3 linked regions of the Diceros bicornis minor genome follow. The protein of the gene in region 2 interacts with the protein of the main gene of each other region in a biochemical or structural test. Links are inferred from orthologs where the notes say so. Each region holds a gene or a part of one and is shown on either strand. Other genes may lie near its edges.

Region 1 (3,743 bases), on a different chromosome or scaffold from region 2:
AGCCCACGTGCCCTGGAGCCTTGAACCTCAGTCAAGAGCCAGTCTGAGTTGGCTTAGGGTCAATATTGCCTCAGCCAACCCCCAATTCCCTCCACTTTAGAAGGATGTGCCTCCTTTCCTTTGAAGAATTTAAGTCTTGCATGGGCTTCTATTTTCCACTGTTCATGGCATGTCACACATTTCATATGTGACCTAGGGGGCCAAAAGGGATCCTCACCTACCTAATGCAAGGTGAACATATGGCTTCAACTAACTCATTTCAACAGTTTAGGTGCATTCCTAGCATTCTATAGGATAATGTTACCCTCCAATGGAAAGTTATGTTCAATTAAAAGAGTATGAAAAGAACATGCAGCAAAAATGAATCTTTTCTCCCACCTTCCTGGCCAGTTAGTAGTTTCTGGTGTATCTTAGTCTTTTGAAATGTTATGAAAAGTATAATGCAAGTCATAGTACTATTCTGAGAAATCGTTTAATAAGTTAGTATTGCTCATCCATTAACGATTAATGTTCCAGTCTGAAAACTTGTAGGCAGGGCTTTTCCAGGTTCTTAGGTTTGTTACACATCAGAGGCCATCTTCACGATACACACGTCTTTTTCAAGGCGTCCAGGCAGAGAAAGGCATTTGAGAGTACAGTCGGTCGGAGGCTGGTCCGGTGTTTTACGTTCGAGTAAAGATAACACTTCACCGGCTGCTAAGTGGCAAGTCGGTGGAGACACGTGATCAACCTAAACGTGATCGGGCGGCCAGCCAATCGCAGAGGGCAGAAAAGCCCGTCCCAGCTTCACACGCTCGGGACAGTCGGAACCAAAGGGCAGGGGGCATTGGAGGCTGAAAACCCCCAAGGGTTGCGGGAGAGGCTGTTTCACCACACACTTGAAAGTTCGCTCTCAGTTCAGGGGACACGTGACTGCAGGCGGGCGGGCCTCCTAAGCCGGCAACAGGAGCTAGGGACTCAGGAACAGGTACTTAAGACGGGGGCCGCTTTCTGCCCCAGTTCCCTAGAGCTGGAGAGCAAGTCCCTGGGTGTCATGTCAAGATCACTTCAGGGACCCGCCAGGACTCTGACCGAATCCTCTTACAAGGGCGTCCTGTCGCCTGCCCGGGAAAGTTGTGCGGCCCCAAGCGGGAGAGTGGCTGAGGACAAGGCTCCCAGGCCCAGCGCAGCAGACCCTGGGGACCGGACAGTAGTCACCACCGCCTCCCAACAAGCCAGAGCCACACACCAGCTCTCGCGCTGCTCCCTTTGATCTATTGTTTAGAATGAAGGCTAATTACAGTCACTAGATTAGGACTCAATTTCTCTCGAGGAAATCTCACCGGGAACGAGGATCAGCAAACTAACCTGATTAAAGTCTTCGTTCCACTCCCCTCCCCCGTTCAGCTATACGAAGACGAGCTTGGTTGTAAACCCGAGAGGTTTACCAACGCAGCCCGAGGGGTGGAAAGAGGAGAGGGGAGAAACACCTAGAGGGGAGTCTTATTTCAAGCCTCACTCGCCCTCTAACCTGCACTCCAGAATGACGGCTCGGCGCCCGGCGAGTCGCAGTCCGGGCGCGCAGGCTGCGCACTTCTCGCGGCTCCGCGGAGCCTCCCGGCTGCCGCCCACAGCCGCGGGGGACTCCCTGCCCCGGCCGGCGCTCCGCGTCCCCGGAGGCGCCCACCCTCTTCCAACGTCCACTCCCACCCTCTCTGAAATCCGAGGAGCGTGCCCGGGGCTGCCGCGCACGTCTTGGCCCGGCCCGGCCCTCTGCCTCCTTCCTAACACTCCGCCTGGCAGACGAGACAGAACCATTGTTCAATGGCTCAGAAGCCCACATTCCCCAGTCCCTGCCAAGCGGGATGAAAAACGAGGCAAAGCAGTGGCTTTGGGGAAGGGAGTGTAAGAGAATGAAGACTAGTTCAGGCAAGGCTTTAGGACACCCCAAACCTCGCTGTCCCCCAAGCCCGGCTCCCCGTAGTCGCAGCGCTGACAGTCAGCTCAGAGGCGCCACCAGGGTGGGGAGCGAAAGAAGGCGAGGAGAGCGGAGAGGCGCCTCCTAGGAGGGGGGTGGGCAAAAGGAACCCCGCGCCTCGGGGCCCCCTGGTACCCCGGCTGGGTCCGAACAGCCCGCGGAGGGACGCGTTGTCACTCACCGGCTCCGGTGGCGCCGATCTCCCGGGACGCCCAGCACAGCGCGAGCAGCAGCCAGAGCGTCCAGCGCGCGGACGTGCCCATGGTGCCCGCCTGGATGGTGGTGGTGCCGCCGCCGCCGCCGCCGCCGCCGCCGCTCGCTCGCTCCGCACAACAAGTTACCAGCCCTTCGGAAAGGAGGAAGGAGGTGGGGGCAGGGAGGGAGGAGGGGGGAGGGGAAGGAGGAGGGGAAGGAGTTAGAAGGGGGAAAGGGAGCGGGGAAGAAGAGGTTCCCCCCCTCCCCTACAACTTGCACAATCTCCTCCCCACCAGCCAACCCACCCACCCACCTCCCGGGGCTGCAGCAGCAGTGCAAGCCGAGCCTGCGGGCGGAAAATAATGCAGGCGCTGCAGAGGAGAGGAGGGAAGAGGAGGGGAGGGGAGGGAGAGGGGGTGGGGAGCCGAGAGCAGAGGAGAAGACAGAGGAGAGAGGAGCCGGCCGCGGAGCACCCACACTGGCGGCTGCTGGAGCGCGGGGTGAGGAGCAAGGAGGGGGCAGGAGGGGGAGTGGTCAGCGGGGAGCAGGGGAGCGGCGGCTTCAGCCCTCCTTTCGCCTCTACGCGCTCCTTTTATAAGCTCGGGGCAGCCAGGTGTCTGCGCCGGGTGTGTGTGTGTGCCAGTGTGAGCGTGCGCGTGTTGAGTGGCCGTGGCCGTGGCCGCCGCTGCCACCCGGACTGCTCCGGGGGCCCCGCTGCTCCGCGCGTCCGCCCGGGGCTCACGGGGGCCCGGGGCGGCCTCTGGTTGGCTCGCGCGCCGCCCTCGCCTCCAATCCCCGGTGTTTGCCCTAATTTCCTGATCCAGGGAACCTGCCGCCGCAGCAGCTGTGCGCTCCCTACAGTCATTACTGTACCTCCCGGCCGCCGCCAACAGTAAATGCAGCAGCGGCGGCAGCAGCAGTTAACGCTGATGCAACTATTGCTGCTCTTGCCACCGCCTTCCCACTAGTGGGGCTTGCAGCCCGGGGGACTTGTCGCTTCCAGGGGCAACAAACATCTCTCTACCACCCTCCCCTGCGCCCCAGAGAGGCTGGTATTGTGAGGCTGGTAGGTAGCGTCTTCCTCGGGCCTCCCCTCTCCAGCTGAAAGTGACGAAGAGGAGGGGGTCTAAACGTTTGGTCTGCTGTCATGTGGGGTTCGGGATGCCTGTCTCCATCGCACGCTGGGATGCCATTTTGCTAAAAATTAAGTGTGCCTTTAAGTGAGTGAGTGTGTGTGTGAGAGAGAGAGAGACAGAGACAGAGCGAGAGAGCGAGAGAGCGCGCGCGCGGTTGTGGCTTGTCCTCTCTAATAGAAGGGGACTAAAATAACCCAGTCTGAGATGAGGAGGAGGGAAATTGCTAGCGCAGCTCTGCATTCTCTCATCAACGATTATAGTTAATTGCTAATTGCACAAAATGATAGTTTGAGGGCCTGTAATTAAAAGCTTAACCTTTTCTTGTTTTGGGGAGGGGGACCCGGCAGGTTTATTCTTCTTGATATGCTTTTACTACAAGGCTTAAGGATAGAAAAAAGGAAGCAAAAGCAAGACTCCTATATAAAGGATTGATTGTTGTTTTGTGCCTGGCAAGA
Region 2 (3,743 bases):
TAAATATTTGATAAAACAGGTAACAGGAATTTAAAACCTGACATTAGCTGTTCTCAAAGCTGATAATAATTTGATCTTCTTAAACTTACATAATAAAATTTCTCTACCTTTTCTGGTGGTAGAAAAGAGGTAGAAATTAAGACTTTCCCCGCAATGTCCAACTTGAAGTATTACACTTTACTCTTACTCTAGATCATCCACTCCTTTTCAGACTTAGGGATGTGATTATGGCCAGTCTTAGGATGACTTATATTTGCTAGCTTTATAGCAAAAGCAAAGGCTATGTCATATTTTGGTATTTTTAAGTTTTCTATGCTGGCACCTTACAAAGAATGTGGAAAACAGAAAAAAAAATAAGGCTTTGTATTATCACATGGTCTTCCATCACAATCCGACAATCACACCTTTTAGCCCAGCTGTGACTCAGTTACCTACCACCCTCCCTTAGAGCTAATAACAGGCAGGCACTCTTGCTAAGGGTCAGTCCGAGTGACAGGCTCAATCAAGCAGTCTTTGGGCTGGGTTGCCATCATATTGGCTGGTCCTCCCACTTACAGATTCTCATGACCTCAGAAAAACACCAGATTGTTCTTGGGAAGAGAATGTGGTAAGTGCTTTTATTAAAGAAGGGACTAGTTACAGAAAATTAATTTTCCAAAGTCTAAAATTCCACTGAATTAGACTCCCGCTGCACGGACAAGGCTGCCACCATGCCACAAGAAAGTTGTAAAAGCACTATTTTAAACCTCTAGAAAGCATTATTTAGGCTAAACCTTTTACAGCAGATATGAAAGGTTTTAAAAAAAAAATGGAAAACTTAAGGATTCTTATCATTTTCATACGCATGTTTATCTGAAATGCCAGCTGCTCCGTGGATTATCTCCTGCCATGTTAATAACTGTTAGCCTATAAGAGATCGAACCTATAATATGAGATTAGTAGACAATAGTTTCTATTTGGTTGGGTACAAGTATTTTTGCCTTGAAATTCTAATTAAACAGTGCTTGTCGTGGCTTAAAAGCTCCATGGAACTGAAATATTCAGAAGTTCCAGCGGAAATACAGAAAATAGTATCTTTTTATTTTCCCACACACTCAATTTACTAGCTTAAAAGATTAAAAAATACATGCACTATACAAAATTATTTTTCTTGGAGCTAAATACTATATCTTCGATAAAGTCTAATTTTGATGAAGGACTCCATAATGATCCTTTTTTAAAAGATACTTTTAAATTATAAAGGTAAATTATGAGAGGCTTCCTGCCCCTACCTGGAAATTAAAGCTGTGCAGATAAAAGACAAAGTCATTAATAAACATCACAGAGATCATTCTAAAAACAAGCAGCATGTTAAAAGTAAGAGAGGAATCAGAAGAAATATCAACTACTGACATTTTAAACGACACTTTAAAAGAACAGAGAGCTGGGAGCAGCCGCCCCACTTCGGGAGGGCTCTGTGACACCGCGAGGAAGGAGAGGAACCCCGGCCGGGGAGCGGCGGGAACTTTGCGGCAGGCGGGCGACGGCGGGGCCGCCGCGGACCGGGGCGCGTCAACCTGTCACCAGCCCGTCCGCAAAGCCCAGGACCAGCCCCAACGCCACCCAGGTCCCCTTCGGGGGCAAGTGGGAGCAGGACAAAGGTCTGGAACCCAGGTGCTGGGGTTAAGGACACAACATGTACGGACTCATTCAACGTGTCAGCTGTAGGAGCAAAACCTGAGGGGGAGAGACTCCAGCCCCCGAGAATTCTCAGGTGTTTCCCACAAGAACCGGCTCATTACGAGGAGACGCGGGAGGGGAGTAGAGAATAAATCCCAACTCGCGAGCCGAGTCTCCACTAACTTTGTTCTCTCTCCCTCCACAGAGCGCAATGTCGAGGGGCAGGGTAGTTTGGGTTCTCGCTGCAACGGCCCCTTGGAGAAGGCAAAGCAGCAGCAGCTGCGCTCGCGGGCGCACCGGGCGGGCGGCGATGCCGCGGTACCTACCATGGTATTCTTGTCCGGGGACGTAGTAGGTGGGGTTGCCCGCAAGGTGCAGGGAAATGAGCACCTCACCCTGCTCCCCATCCCCTTCCAGCTCCCCGTGGTGGGTGCACAAGAAAAAGAAGGGCGAGAAGCGGGGGTAGTAGCCCGCCGCGGCGCGCGCCCTCAGCGTCGCCCCCAGCAGCAGCGCCAGGAGGCAAGTCCGCGGGGCCCAGCCGCTGCGCTCCATGCCGCCGCCGCGCGCCACGAGCGCCGCTCGCGCATTCAGTTCTGCAGCCGCCGGGACGGGGAGCCACGCGGAAGGCGGGCGAGAGGCGGCGGGCGGGAGCCGAGCGGGCTCGGGAGCGAAGCCGGCCGAGAAGTTCCGCGGGCGACGGCGGCTCCCAAAGTTTCTTGGGGCCGCGGGAGTGCGGGGCCGGGGCTGCGGGCGCCGAAGCGCGTCGTCCGCCGCCTGTGTGCGCCTCCGTCGCCTCTGCGCGACGCCCCTCGGCCAGGCCTGGGAAAGCGCCCGCCCCCCTCCACACCTTCTTAAAGCCCCGGGCACCGCGTCCCCCCCGCCGCCGCCACACGTGTCCCGGCCGCGCCCCCGCCCCGCGCGCCGCCCCGCGCGCGCCCGCCCGCCCCCGCCCTGGGGCTCGCTCGCCCGCACCTCGCGCGCCTGGGGCGCACGCCTCCCCGGGGCCAGACGTCGGAGCCCGGTGCGCACCCGGGAGGGCCGCTGCGGGTGCCAGCCGGGGCTGGGGGGTGGTCAGGGGGCGTTGTCGGAGGCCACGGGGTCTGCGAATGTACGGTGAGAAACGGAAAAGCCTCGGAGAGAGACCCTCCCGCCCGCTGTCTGCTGGAGCAGGAGAAGACTAGCCCCTTTGGCCCTCAGATGGCCTTCTTTTGCCGACAGGAGGCGCGGGGGAAGGAGAGCGGCGGCGGGACCGGCGCCGGCGCGGGTTTCTTTGTCTGCGCCCCGCGCCCCTCGGGGCTCGCCGGCTTCGGAGCCCGAGCGGCCTGCACTCGTCTGGGGATCGGCCCGCGGCCCCGAACCGCGGAGGGCGCCTGCGCTCCCCTCCCATCCAGGCCTCGCGTCCCGCCTGCCACCCCCCGCCCCGCTCCGCACCCCAGCGACAGAGCCTCATCTGTAGCTGGATTTAAAATGAGATTAAGCGAAAGTGGAATTGGCAGCTTCGAGTGGTGCCTGAAAATGGTGATTTGTGCTGCTCGGGTGGGGGGAATTGTGTGGCAGGAAGGACCGGCGGAGCTGAGACCCGACAGGCGCTCTTCGCTGGACTGTTCTATTAGTCATTGCTGCTGGGTTCTTCAGGCGGAGATGGTTGTAATTTTTTAAATCAGTGTTTGTTTCCCTTAAATGTCAGCTACGACCAATGTCCCTGAAATGGGGGGATGGGAAAACGTTCTGGGGAGATGCTGGCAGCGGTGATTGAAGCGGGTCGTAATGAGCTGCTGCACAGGAGGCTGCAGGCAAGCGAAATAAAAAGCACGTTTTTAACCGAGGACGGCTGGCAGGAGCCCTGCGGCTTCCGGCGATGGGGGAACAGGGTTGCCAGGTTTTAATGCCTCTCCCCACCCACCTTTGGCTTGCCACCAAACCCAGATAAACTCGCACGTACAGAAATGAGTATAAAATGGGAAGGGATGATATCTTTGCCTGCATTTTGGGGTGGGGTGGGGAGGGGAGGGGGAAAGGCAGGGTCCCAAGGGAGACCTCTGTAGTCACTTCGTTGCAAAAGGAAGAGATTGTTTTTCTTCCTC
Region 3 (3,743 bases), on a different chromosome or scaffold from region 2:
TCCCCGGCCTGCAGGTGCGCTGTTCCCCAAAGTGCCCCAGCGCCCGGCACACAGCGTGCGCTCAGGGACCAGGAATGAATGACTGCCTGCGTCCTGTTTTTCTGTTCCTGGAACTACACTCCTTCCACGGCGACAACTGCCCATTAACTGCACCCTGTCCCACAGACATCCACGACGGCGCACCCAAAGAAAGAACTCCCAAGGCGGTCACACCCGCGTGTACAAACATCACACCCAGCCGAGGCGGCCCGCACACGGGCGGGGGTTCACGCGCGGCCTCGGGATCCCGGGGCCCCTTCCAGGAAACAAACTCTTCCTCCTGGCCCCCTCCTTCCTGGTCTGCCCCATGACTCATGCCCGAGCAGGGCGGGCAGGAGAGCGCGGTCGGCTAACCAGGGTGGCACAAAAAGGTCTTCACGGTGACTATGCAGAAAAGCAGAGGGCCTCGCCGGCACCTACTTCCCGGGGGATGCGCGCGGGGGTGCGGCCGGGGCGGGGCCCCTGCGCCCAGGGTGCCGGAAACCTGCACGCACGCCCGCTCCACGATTGGCCGCTCCGGCCACGGGGGCCTATGGGGTGGTCCTCGTCCAGCCAATCAGGGGCCCCGGGGAGCCCATTCATTCACAGACCGAGCAGGGAAAGGAGTGCCGCGAGGCCCGGAGCTGCGTGGAACTTTGAAGCAGGCGTGCGTTCGGTGGGGCCGAGGCAGGAGTCCCGGAGGGCCCGACCGCAGAAAGCTAGACGCGTGCAGGGACCGCCGAGTCCCCGCCCACAGTTCCGACCCTGCCTGCCGGGCGTGGCGCGCCCTTCTCCCGGGCCACGCCGCCCCGCGCTCCGCCTCCAGCCCCATTAGGACACGCCGGCCGCCCAGCTCCCGCCGTGTCGCTAAGAGCCATTCAGCCCCGAGGGAGGCGGCGCCCAGTTGGCTTCCTGGCTGCGGGCTCCGGCGATGAGGTCCACGCATCTGGCCCGGCGGCGGCTGCAGCCACGTGCGCACTGAGCCTGGCGCCCCCCACCGTTCCCTCCCTCCCGGCCGGCCACTCACGGCAGTCGTCCTCGTCGCTGTTGTCCGAGCAGTCGTCGTCCTCGTCGCATCTCCACACGGAGGGGATGCAGCGCTCGTTCCGGCACCGGAACTGGTTCTCTTCGCACTCCTTGACCGGCCCTGCGCGGGGGAGAGCGGGCGTGAGCCGGATCCGCGCGGGCCATGCAGTCCTGGCCGCGGGGAGGGATCTACTAGGATGAAGGAAAGGGGGGGATGCTGGAGCCAAGGGCCCCAGGGGCCTCGGGCACCCTCGATCCGGAAGGAGGGCAGGATGGTGGGGGTTCCTGGGATGGCGGGCTGCTCCATGGTAGGAGACTAGGCACACACCGTCGGTGTCACACGACTTAGGTATACCTCCCATTCAGACACACTCACCCGCACACTCGGCCCACAGTCAGAGATCCACGCAGACACAGCGCACAGGGAGCCCCGAACACGCCAGGACACCCACAGTGGGCGCTGCGGGCACATCCCCCTCGCACACAGCCCCTCTTTCAAGGCGACACGCAGGGGTCCCCGGAAACGCATTGTCAGGCAGGGAAGTCGCTAGGCTCCGCTCACCGCCGCCGCGGAGCGCGCGTGTCAAATAAACCTCAACGGCGAGAATCACACAGCCCACCCGAAACCATCAATAACCACCCCCCGCAAAGTTCCCGGCAGGCCAGGCCCCCACTGCGCCCATCCCCCGCGAGCAGGTGCCGGAGGGCAGAGCCCACGACGCAGGAGCCGCGGGGGGTCGAGGGCAAACGAAGAGATGGCTGGGTCCCGAGGAGCCTATCCACCCGGGCGCCCCGACCAGGCCTGGGCTCGGGGCCTCGCCGCCCCCCGCCCCCTGCCCTTCGGCCCCCGGGCCGCGCTTTGTTGGCGGCTCCGGCCGCACGCACCTTGGCCGCCGCGCAGTGGATCCGCCGCCGCCGCCGCGAGATGCTGGAGCCGCAGCAGCAGCAGCAGCAGCAGCGCCAGCGGCCGGAGCGCGCCCCGCTCGGGGCGGCCCATGGCGGGCCCCGGGCTCCGGCCGCCGCGCCCCACGCACCCGGTGCCGCCCCCGCCGCCGCGCCTCAGCCCGCCGAGTCCTCGCCGCGGCGCCGGGGCTGCCGCTGCCCCCGCCGCCGCCGCCGCCGCCGCCGCTGCCGCCCGCCCCGGCTCCTCGGCTGCATTTCAAGCAGGTTCCGTGACGCTCGGCGGCGGGGCGGGCTCAGGCTGGGCGCGCGGCCCCGGCCCTGGGCGGCCGCCGCCAGCGCGCGCGCCCCTCCCGCCGCCGCCTCCGCCCCACGCCCCTCCCGCCGCCGCCGCCTCTGCTGCCTCCCTCACGTCCTTGGTCCTCTCCTTCCTCAGCAGGCGCTTGGTGACCCTGCTCTGGGCCCGCCCGCGTGCTGGGCGCCGCAGACGCTGGGATGAGCCAGGCGAGGCCCCTGCCACCCAAAGATAGCAGACAGTCCAGAGGAAGCAGCACAGGCTGCCTGGAGGAGGTGACAGGCTTATAGGAGGCTGAGGGATGCCTAGGAGTGAACCTGGGCGGGTGGGGAGATGATGTTCCCCGGTGCACAGGCCTGTGCAGTGTGCACGTGGAGCAGGAGTGGTGATAGATAGGGGTTGGGGTACCCGGATGTGTGTGATCGAGAAGGTGGGGGAGCAGGGCGGGACCTCTGCACCCCTCACTGGCTACAACCCCATATTACACATCTGTGTAGCTGGTTAATGCAGCCATGTGCATCTGTGCATGTTACACACTCATGTGACCACGGCCAAGGATGTGAGGCAGGTGGCTTGGGCCTGGCCCACAGACTTTATTCACCCATCCTTATTCGGTACTCTCCACGGGGCCAGGCAGAGGGGCAGACAAGCAGGGGACCAGCAGGGACAACATGTTAGTTCTTGCTGTGATGGAGAGGGCAGGACCGTGGGGCACCACAGAAGGGATTCGTCATCCCTGCCAGTAGCGGACACACACCCAGGGCCTCTGGCTACCTCTGCTGCCTCTGCATGAATGAGAAGCCCCCTCTTCTGGAAGGTAGCAGCCCTGCCTCACTTATGCCAGGGTGCAGAGTGTAGAGGGCAGACCTGGGACTAGATTTTAGGTGCCTGCTGATAATCGAGGCCCAACCCACATAACCTTTTTTGGACAAAGAGGTTTGAGAGCATTGGCAGCTAACAGAGGCAGGCTTGCAGGTGCCTGGGCCCAGTGTAGGTCAGCTCTCCCCCACCCTGTTGCTCCCTCACCTCTATGGCAGAGGGGCAGGAAAGGGGGCTTCAGGAGCTGTTAGCCCCAGGCCTGGAAGCCACTCTGTCTCATTAGCAGCCTCCTGAGCTCTATTACTTCCCACAAAGGGCAGCCCCCTCGACAATGGCCATGGCCACCCCACGGGAGAGAGGTGCAGACCTCAGAGAGTGCGGCAGCTGCTCCTGCCATTACCACCTTCTATCCTTTGTTCATTCGGTTCTCCAACAAGGCCAGCCCTGCTCTGTGCCAACCCTGTCGTGGGCCTAGAGTACCAACGTAAATCAGACCTGCTACCAGCCCCAGTGAGGTCCCTGACTGGCCAGGAGACACACCATCAACAGGCAGACAGTGAAATGCAGGCATACTTTCAACAAAAACTCGCTGAGCACCTACTATGTGCCAGGCATTGTCCGAGGCCTGGGGATACCACGTAGAAATAGATGCAGTCCCTCCTTGCTCTCCTGCAGCTTACGTCTT

Evidence for each region.
Region 1: the proteins of RELN (region 2) and VLDLR form a complex in vitro, tested with the Homo sapiens proteins (6 studies listed by BioGRID). The link is inferred for Diceros bicornis minor from reciprocal best matches to the Homo sapiens genes RELN and VLDLR.
Region 3: the proteins of RELN (region 2) and LRP8 form a complex in vitro, tested with the Homo sapiens proteins (7 studies listed by BioGRID). The link is inferred for Diceros bicornis minor from reciprocal best matches to the Homo sapiens genes RELN and LRP8.

The regions. Positions count from the first base shown.
Region 1 is NC_080761.1:26,932,953-26,936,695, reverse strand, and holds the start of VLDLR (very low-density lipoprotein receptor), read right to left. Parts: upstream 2,394-3,743; 5' UTR 2,221-2,393; coding exon 2,139-2,220; intron 1-2,138. UniProt on the Homo sapiens protein: Multifunctional cell surface receptor that binds VLDL and transports it into cells by endocytosis and therefore plays an important role in energy metabolism.
Region 2 is NC_080742.1:14,031,962-14,035,704, reverse strand, and holds the start of RELN (reelin), read right to left. Parts: upstream 2,355-3,743; 5' UTR 2,212-2,354; coding exon 1,986-2,211; intron 1-1,985. UniProt on the Homo sapiens protein: Extracellular matrix serine protease secreted by pioneer neurons that plays a role in layering of neurons in the cerebral cortex and cerebellum by coordinating cell positioning during neurodevelopment.
Region 3 is NC_080752.1:15,653,306-15,657,048, forward strand, and holds the start of LRP8 (low-density lipoprotein receptor-related protein 8), read right to left. Parts: upstream 2,163-3,743; 5' UTR 2,042-2,162; coding exon 1,930-2,041; intron 1,166-1,929; coding exon 1,046-1,165; intron 1-1,045. UniProt on the Homo sapiens protein: Cell surface receptor for Reelin (RELN) and apolipoprotein E (apoE)-containing ligands. LRP8 participates in transmitting the extracellular Reelin signal to intracellular signaling processes, by binding to DAB1 on its cytoplasmic tail.